2 linked regions of the Oryctolagus cuniculus genome follow. The protein of the gene in region 2 interacts with the protein of the main gene of each other region in a pairwise test. Links are inferred from orthologs where the notes say so. Each region holds a gene or a part of one and is shown on either strand. Other genes may lie near its edges.

Region 1 (5,243 bases), on a different chromosome or scaffold from region 2:
AGGCTCCACGGGCCCTGCTCCTGGGCCCGGTCCCCATTTCCCCCATCCACCCACGCCGTCTGGAGTCCCCCAGGGCTCTCCTAGTGCCCCCCCCACCTGCGCCCAGGGAGAGGCGTTGGGTTCTGGGGTGCGCAAGGGCACGCATGCGCCTTTCCTCGCTAGGTCACTAGGCCAGGGGACCGTCTGCGTCATCCCTCCCCGCTCCCTGGCCGGCCGCGTGCCCGTCCTGGCTGGGGTGGAGTCGGTGTGTGACGCGCGCACTTGTGTTTGAGAGGTAGACAGCAAGCAACACAGACACATACCCCACCCGCTGGCTCACTGCACCAGCCAGGAGCCAGGGACTCCATCCGGGGCTCCCGCGTGGGCGGCAGGGACCGGGGCCACCCGCTGCTTCCCGGGGTGCGCGCGCAGGGACCGGAGCCACCCACTGCCTCCCGGGTTCGCGCACGCAGGGACCGGGGCCACCCACTGCCTCCTGCGGTGCGCGCGCAGGGACAGGGCCACCCGCTGCCTCCCGGGGTGCGCGCACGCAGGGACAGAGCCACCCGCTGCCTCCCAGGTGCGCGCGCAGGGACCGGGGCCACCTGCTGCCTCCCGGGGTGCGCGCGCAGGGACCGGGGCCACCCGCTGCCTCCCGGGGTGCGCGCACGCAGGGACCGGAGCCACCCGCTGCCTCCCGGGGTGCGCGCACGCAGGGACCGGAGCCACCCGCTGCCTCCCGGGTGCGCGCGCAGGGACAGGGCCACCCGCTGCCTCCCGGGGTGCGCGCACGCAGGGACAGAGCCACCCGCTGCCTCCCGGGGCGCGCACGCAGGGACAGAGCCACCCGCTACCTCCCGGGGTGCGCGTGCAGGGACCGGAGCCACCCGCTGCCTCCCGGGGTGCGCGCACGCAGGGACAGGGCCACCCGCTGCCTCCCGGGGTGCGCGCGCAGGCACCGGAGCCAGGCCCTGCGCCCCGGCACTTGGCTGCGCGCCCGGCGTCCTGCGCGGCGGCCCCACTGACCTGGCCCCCGGCTGTCCGCAGAGCGAGCCTCGTGGACCTGCAGCAGAAGCTGGCGGAGCTGGAGCTGGACGAGCAGCAGCGGCGGCGGCTGGAGGCCTTCCTCACGCAGAAGGCCAAGGTCGGCGAGCTCAAGGACGATGACTTCGAGAGGATCTCGGAGCTGGGGGCCGGCAACGGCGGCGTGGTGACCAAGGTGCGGCACCGGCCCTCGGGCCTCATCATGGCCAGGAAGGTGAGCGGCGCTGGGGCGTGGGAGGGCACGGCGAGTATCTGGGAGGTGAGTCCCCCCCCCCCAGGGCTCCCTGGAGTGTGCGCCTGCACCAGAAGAGGGGAGGAAGCTTGGGGCCCGCCTTCTGGGTGTGCAGGCCAGGCCAGGAGGGCGCAGCTCGCGACCCCACACATTTCGGGGGGCACCGCCGTCTTTCCCCGAACACCTTCACCCGTCGGGAGAGGCCCGCCCAGCCCCGGAAGGCCGGCTGCGTCGCCGGTGTCTTGTGGGTTAAGTGTCCGTCACAGCTCCAGCCTGGCCCGGGGGTCACCGACAGCCCCCAGGCTGGGGAGCCTGCCTCCCCCAACCCGGACAGCCACCCCGGCCCCAGCTCCCGAGGCTCCGGGCAGCCAGGTGGGGGAATATCCCCCCACTCCCCGGGGTGGGGGGAGACGGGAGCAGGGACCGGCTGGGGGCCATGACTAAGCTCGTGGTGGGGACTCTGTGGTCAGACTGTGCGCCTCTCAGGCGTCTTCCTCCCACCACACACGGCTCGCTCTTCCAGGAAGCCCACCGCCCTGCGGCTGGGTGAGGTCCCGGCCTCCGGCTGTGTTTCCCGGGGATGGGAGGCCTGGATCCTCCTGGGGTCTGCAGCTTGCCACCTGCTCCCACAGCAGGACAGCCAGGACCCTCCTCCACCCTGCCCCCGAACCCCCACCCAGGGCACCTGTGGGACCCCCTAGGACGGCGCTGGTCGGAGAGCGGTGGGCACCGAGGCGTCTGGGGCCAGCGCCGCGGGAACGGGGCTCCGGGAGGCGGGGCCCAGGGGCTCCGCGTAGGGCTGCGTGGCCAGGCGAGCTCCGTGTGGCCTCCGTGGCCTCTGGCTCCTCCACCGTGTAAGGTGTCGCCTTTGAGGGTGAGGGATGGGGGGCGCAGGGGCCCCCTCTTTTCGCGTCTGTGATGGATGGATTGATTTGAACCGAGGATCCACTGGCTCGCTCCTCAAACGGCCCCGACTGCCAGGCTGGGCCCGGCCGAAGCCGGGAGCCTCACCCGGCTGCGTCCACGCGTGTGCGGGGGCCGGGCGCTCGGTGTCCTCTGCTGCTTTCCCAGGCGCCTTGGCAGGGGGCTGCATCCGACGGGTGCCCGTGCCAAGTCCGTGCCGGGACTTGTCGGCCCCCGGGGCACCTTACCAGACCTGCACAGACCGGCAGCTGGGCGCCCACCGCGTGCTGGCGTCACGCAGGTTATCCCATGCGCGTGCAGCACGACGGGCCTTGTAGAAGGCCCGAGAAGACTGACCTCTGGGTTTTAATGAATTAATGTGTTTATCTGAGAGGCAGAGCGCGTGTTGGCTCCGACCCCTGGGTCCCTCCCGGATCCCTGCGGCGGCCGGGGGCTCCATCCGGGTCTCCCACGCAGGTGCAGGGGCCCCCGCCCCTCCGCGGCCCCTCCCTGGCAGGGTCTACGCACGCGCAGGAAGCAGGGGTCAGGGCGCGCCCGCTGCCAGCGCCGTCTGCGCCCACGTGTGTTTCCCTCCCTCGTGGCAGAGAAACCCTGGCCTGGCCTCTGTGCCCCCTGCCGCAGTCACGTGACCGCAGCCACGGCCGCCTTGCCAGAGCTGGGCCTGGGGCGGCGCCGCTGGCCCGGACCTGTGTGCTCACGCATACCGGGCAGCCCTGCCCCCCGGGCCGGCTCCGGCTCCCGGGTCTGCCCAGCGCGCGCCTCACGCACACACAGTCACCCGCCCAGCCGTGGCAACCCCGGCCCGTGCCCGACTCGGCTCCCCCGCGCATGGGCGGTGGTGGGAGCCGTGGGGGGTGCGTGAGAAGCAAGAACCGGAGGCCGCGCCTGTGTCAGGGGGCGTGGGGGTGCCGCCCGGGGTCCTGTCGGGCGCTGCCAGCCCCTTGCTGTCCCGGGCCCGGCCGCCGCCCTCCGCCCCACCTTGGCGTCCCCCGAAACGCCCACCCCGCTGCAGCCCCGGCGTCACCCCTCACTGCCGGCACCCGTGGCTCTCTGTCCCTTCCCCCGGCCGTCCTCCCCTCCCCCCACCTTGTCTCCACCGGGCAGGGCCTGCCTCTCTCCCAGCGGCTGCCGGTCCCCATGGGGCGTTCTGGGTCACATCGGGTCCCTGTGGCCACCCCAGCCCCAGCTCGGCCGCGGGCTCCTGGCGCCCCCTGGGCTTGGCCTGCGGGCGTGCACTTGGCCGTGACCGCGGGGCTCTGTCCTGAGACAGCCGTGCTGGGCGCCGCCCTGTCGCCCACAGCTGATCCACCTGGAGATCAAGCCGGCCATCCGGAACCAGATCATCCGCGAGCTGCAGGTGCTGCACCAGTGCAACTCCCCGTACATCGTGGGCTTCTACGGCGCCTTCTACAGCGACGGCGAGATCAGCATCTGCATGCAGCACATGGTGAGGGCGGGGCCGGGGCCGCGCGGAGGCGGAGCTACAGGGCGCAGGACGCAGCTGGGGCCCGCCCCGAGGAGGCGGAGCTACAGGGCACAGGACGCAGCTGGGGCCCTCCCCGAGGAGGCGGAGCTACAGGGGACAGGACGCAGCTGGGGCCCTCCCCGAGGAGGCGGAGCTACAGGGCACAGGACGCAGCTGGGGCCCTCCCCGAGGAGGCGGAGCTACAGGGGACAGGACGCAGCTGGGGCCCTCCCCGAGGAGGCGGAGCTACAGGGCACAGGACGCAGCTGGGGCCCTCCCCGATGGCCACCCACCACGGCCAGGGCTGGGCCAGGCTGGAGCCAGGAGCCCCACGTGCGCCCCCACGCTGCCTCCCAGGGCGCATGCGCGGGGGCTGGGGCAGACGCACGCAGCCAGAGTTTGAACCGAGGCCCAGGGAGGGGTGCGGGCGTCCCGGGGGGTCGGGCGCTCTGCCAGGTGCCCGCGCCCACTCTGCTCGCCATCAGCAGCCGGGGCCCCGTCTCTGCGTGGTGGGCTGCACGGCCTTTGCGCCCATTCGCGGCAGCGCCTGGTCCTGCCGCGCGCCCCCTCGGGGTCAGGTCCCACGGGACCTGGTTGCTGTTGGCCTGCGGGCCTCTAAAGGGGGGGCTTTTTACGGTTAAGACTCACTGGTTTGAAGGGCACATGACAGAGAGGGAGAGAGACAGAACCTCCCTCTGGTTCACCCCTCGGACGGCCACAATGGCCGGGCACGGCCAGGGGCTCCGTCGGGTCTCCCGCGTGGGTGGCAGGGTTGGGCCGCCTTCCCAGGGGCCTTAGCAGGGAGCTGGGTCCGAGGCGGGGCAGCCAGGACCCCAGCCAGCGCTCACAGGGGACGTGGGGCTTTGTAAAAGGCAGGCCTCCTGCCCGCCCCCGGCCCAGACCTGCGGGGTTCCGCGCAGGGCGGGGCCCGGGCCGCGCCTCTCTGTGACCCCCACCCCCCACCCCACGCTGAGACCAGCGAAAGCAGAAGTGGTCAGGGCTGCGGGCCCAGAGGAAGCGCCCGGGCCCCGTGAGCGCCGGGCGTCAGGTGGGGGCTGCAGGCCCCTTGCAAAACCCGGGCGCGGCGGCTGCGGGAGCGTCTCGCGAGCGCGCCGTCCCCCGGGACACGGGTGTCGTAACGCGGGCAGGAAGTGGATTTGAGCAAGATCCCGCCCTCACCGGGAGGGGGCATCGCGCTGGTCCCAGCTGCCCCACAAGGTCAGCGCGGGCGGCACCCCCTCCTCGGGAGTGAGCCAGTGCGCCCCCGGCACCCCGTCTGTCGGAGGGGCCGGGGCGGCCTGAGTGTGTGCCCCGGCATTGCGGGCGGTGACCGCATGGACGGGAAGACGCCCCGGTGTCAGCCCCTAGGGAAGGACTCGGTAGACGGATGGTGCAGGCTGGGCTGCTGGGGCCGGCGCTGGGGGCCCGCGGTCACGCTCTCGCCCCCCCTCCCCCCGCCGCTGCGGCGGCTCAAGTCCTTGTGTCCCTGCCTCCCCGTTGGGGACCTGGATGGAGCTGGCCTGGCCTGGAGAGTGACCCAGCGGATGGCAGCCCCCCGCCCTGTCCCTGTACATCTGTCTCTGCCTCTGTGGGGGGGGA
Region 2 (3,949 bases):
CTAATAAGGGGGGAGCAGAGGTCTCAGAGGATAATCAGATGGTCATTATCTTAAAGCAACAGATTCTGCACAGCCAAAGAAAAAGGATATTCACTGAATATGTTCTGGTAAATGATTAAATGTAAGATATTTATTTAACATTCAATTATTATATTAATTATTAAATGTAAGGATATTTACTTAACAACATTCTCCATATTTAGAACTTAGGAACAGCTTTTTTAAAAGTAGGCCACTCCATATACTGCAGTATACATAGTGATTAGTACCATGGGATTTGAAATAAATCAGATTTGAAAAGAATGCTGCCACTTTACTGGCTCTGAGTGATGTTTGGAAACTTATTTAATGTGAGTGAGCCTTTTCTGTATATAAAATAATAACATCATTAAGTATACTGAGAAAATTAAATGAAATACTTGATATAAAGCAATTAGCAAAGTGCCTGGCATATAATAAGCCTCAATAAATGACTATTATTATTTTTGTTTGGTGCATTGCATTCTTGAAAGAAAACCTCAATTGAGCCTGTTTTTTATAATTTTAAACACAATTCTGACAAGTTTTCTGTTCTTATTTCTTAATCCTCGGTGGTCAGAAGTATCAGATTAGAAGGAAGGAAAGCAAACATAATAGCAAACATTTATTAAGTGCCTCCTGTGTGCCAGACACTGCTAAATGCTTTATATGTGTTGTTTCCGTAGAGGCAAGTATACTAATAGCAACCAGAAGTGAGAGCTGATGCAAGGGGAGAAAACACTGTGTAAGACCAGAGCAGTCTGAACCTTTGTATAAAGGCAAGCAGATCTACCTACTCAGCCACACGGCTGTCCCTGTATTCCAGCACTGCATATATGAGGACATTAATAATCAAGAAAAGGTTAAATTACATTTTCTCCCTTTCTGTGATTTTATATACTCATATAGGACACTGCTGCATTTTAAGAAAACATGTAAATTATGTTCACTTTCTCTTTCTCCAACTAAAGCAGTTAATTATAGCATAAAACCTAAAAGCTACCAGAGAAAAATTTTTTTAAGAAATTAGTTTCCTGTATTAATTTTCTGGGCATTTGAAATGTGATTGGGTATATTTTACTGTCAGTTTACTAGTATAACCATTTCTGCTAGCTTACATTTTTATGGGCTCTGTAGCTAATCTTCTGAATGTGGAAAAGTCTGTAAACCTTAGGCTTTTCTCCAAGTCTGTGGGATAAATGTTGATTTCCTAAACCATTTAGATTCATTTAGGCAAAGTAAATATAATTGCATCATTTTAAAATCACCCTAACTTTGAACAATCATTAGGAGATCTGGTAGCATTTTAAAGGGCCTTCTGTGGTAACTTTGATGATAGCTATAACATTTTGTGTTTGATAGTTAAACTGTATTTCTTGTAAGCTGTCTTTCAAACTGAGCAACTAAAATAGCATGCTGATTTTCGCCAAATGGCTTATTTATCCTCATTCTCTTCTACAAAAGATTAAGAAAAGAAATGTAATATATGCTTTACAACTTTGTAGGTTTTCTTTATATTTTAGACTAAAACTAAAAATGGATATCTTATAACAATCTCTTTAAAGATATTACAGTAATGTAGACATATAACTTTTTTCTTTTTAAAAAGTATGTCATATTATAAAAATACAATATATAATATTCTAGTTTCCCAGATATAGAATGCATATGAGTGAGGTGAAGGGCTTATAGCTATGTCTATTTTCTTTATATTGTTCTACATTTTCCAAATTTTCTGTAATTTATTAAATTATTTTCTGTAATAATTTATTAAGCAAAACCAAAGGTTATTTTTAAAAATATTATCCTAAGTACAAATTATAAAAGAATAGTAACAAAACTAGCTAACAATTATTAAGCATTTAGTGGGTGCCATGGACCAGCCTAAGAGCTTTCACACATTATTTCATTAATTTTTCACAATAGCCTTAACATAGAAATTGCTCCCTTTTCCCATTTTCTGAAGAGGACCTGCAGGCATGTCCCAAGCCTCCCAACTAATCTGCAGCAGGTTAGGAGCTGGACTTGATATGTGTAGGCCAAGGCCTCTTGTAATAATAATCACCATTAGACCTAGAGTCGAAGAGAAAAATTCCAAATTTAATCTTGAAATTAAAAAGAGAACACATCTACATTGAACCACTTGACAAGTTGAAAAAGTTGCAAGATTTTGCACGTGTAATTTGACTTCTTACTTCAATAATCATCCACTCAGATCTTATAGGAGGATTCTTTGTAAATGAAATGTTCTTTATAGAAGAAAATTAATTTACATTAAAATATATATGTGTGTATGTATATTTTTTTTATGTTTTTAATGGTAGACTTGTGTACTAATACAATATCATCTTCTCCACAGAATGCAGACTATACCACTGGTCAGGTCTTTGATTTGTCTGAAAAGTTAGAGCAGTCAGAAGCCCAGCTGGGACGAGGAAGTTTCATGTTGGGTTTAGAAACACATGACCGAAAATCAGAGGACAAACTTGCCAAAGCCACAAGAGACAGGTAAGAATAAGAATAAGAATAAGAAAAAGATTCTTTTTACTTTCAATTCTCAAATAATAGTAGGAACCAAATTCCTTACAGTTCAAATTAGTCAGAATAATATCTGAACATTAAACTTCTTGGGACCTTTAAAAGTTGTCAAATGCAGATTTTAACTCTGAAAATTTAGGAGTCATTAGGTCAGAACATTAAAGGCTTAAATCAAAGATGTAGGCAGTGACATGGAATACTCCCAGTCATCTCTTCTAGTTCAGCTACAAAGTCAAAGAAAGAAACTAATCTTCCTTTAGGTCTTCAAATTAAAAAAAAATAAATAAAAGCAAGCCTTTGCCAAAAGAATCTCTTGGTTTATTGTCATATAAGCATCTGTAGAATTAAATTAAGAGATGTTGAAACTTAACAAATTTCAGGGTTTTTTTCATAAAGTCTTAAATCCCAAGATATCATAGGAGTGAATGTATCTCTCTTAAATTATGCTTCTGAAATTGTCCTTTATACTGTAATTTGGTACTCTAGATTTTAGTAAGGAATTTGTAGAAAACAAACTTAGGATGTTTTCTGCTGGCTTATGAAGTAACTGTGTGGCCCTCAGATACATAGACTGTACAGAGGTGAGAAGACTATCTAAATAACAGTTACTCTCACACTGAATTTGAGTTTAAATGTGATAAGGATAGAAAGGAAGGGAGAACATCTATATAAACTCATGTCTATTTTAAGACAAACTATATTGGTCCAAAGGAAAAAGCAAGGAGAAGGTAAAGAGTATCCTGGTTGTGGAAGTCATCTTGAATTAAATTCTGTCTCACCTTCTTCATGGGTTTTTAGAAAGTAGAGCTAGTGACCTGGATAAAGATTATACTTTTCTTTGGCATTTGGCCTTATTTTTAGTATTTGCTTTAGTGTAGTGTGTGTTTTTGCTCAGTTGTCTTTATGTCTGTAATTTGCAGTTTTATCTGCATTTACATTTCAACCTCTAATCAAGCAAACATTTCATTATGAGAATGTCTTCAATTATAATAAGAGAAAAGTAGAAAAGATAAAAGTAATGATGCAAAAGTAGAGAATTTTCCTTTTGGAGATGGCTTTATAAGAATTGCTTCCCTTCTGAATATTGGTGGAGTTTTATCATTGTTTCTGCCTTTTTACTTTTTTAAATTTTGTATTTATTTTGAAGTCAGAGAAACACAGATATATGGATAAAGACAGGGAGACAGATCTCCCATCCATTGGTTCACAGCAAGTGCCCACAACAGCCAAGGCTGGACCAGGCAGAAGGCAGGAGCCAAAAGAATTCAATCCAGGTCTCCCATGTAGGTGCCAGGGACTCAACTACTTGAGCCATCACTTGCTGCCCCCCAGAGTATGCATTAACAGGAAGCTGAAAAGGAGAACAGAACTGCAACTCAAACCCAGATGTGGG

The links.
Region 1: the proteins of COPS5 (region 2) and MAP2K2 interact in a two-hybrid assay, tested with the Homo sapiens proteins (2 studies listed by BioGRID and IntAct). The link is inferred for Oryctolagus cuniculus from reciprocal best matches to the Homo sapiens genes COPS5 and MAP2K2.

What each region holds. Positions count from the first base shown.
Region 1 is NC_091447.1:59,243,183-59,248,425, forward strand, and holds part of MAP2K2 (dual specificity mitogen-activated protein kinase kinase 2), read left to right. Parts: intron 1-1,026; coding exon 1,027-1,237; intron 1,238-3,479; coding exon 3,480-3,626; intron 3,627-5,243. UniProt on the Homo sapiens protein: Catalyzes the concomitant phosphorylation of a threonine and a tyrosine residue in a Thr-Glu-Tyr sequence located in MAP kinases. Activates the ERK1 and ERK2 MAP kinases.
Region 2 is NC_091437.1:92,671,099-92,675,047, reverse strand, and holds part of COPS5 (COP9 signalosome complex subunit 5), read left to right. Parts: intron 1-2,377; coding exon 2,378-2,526; intron 2,527-3,949. UniProt on the Homo sapiens protein: Probable protease subunit of the COP9 signalosome complex (CSN), a complex involved in various cellular and developmental processes.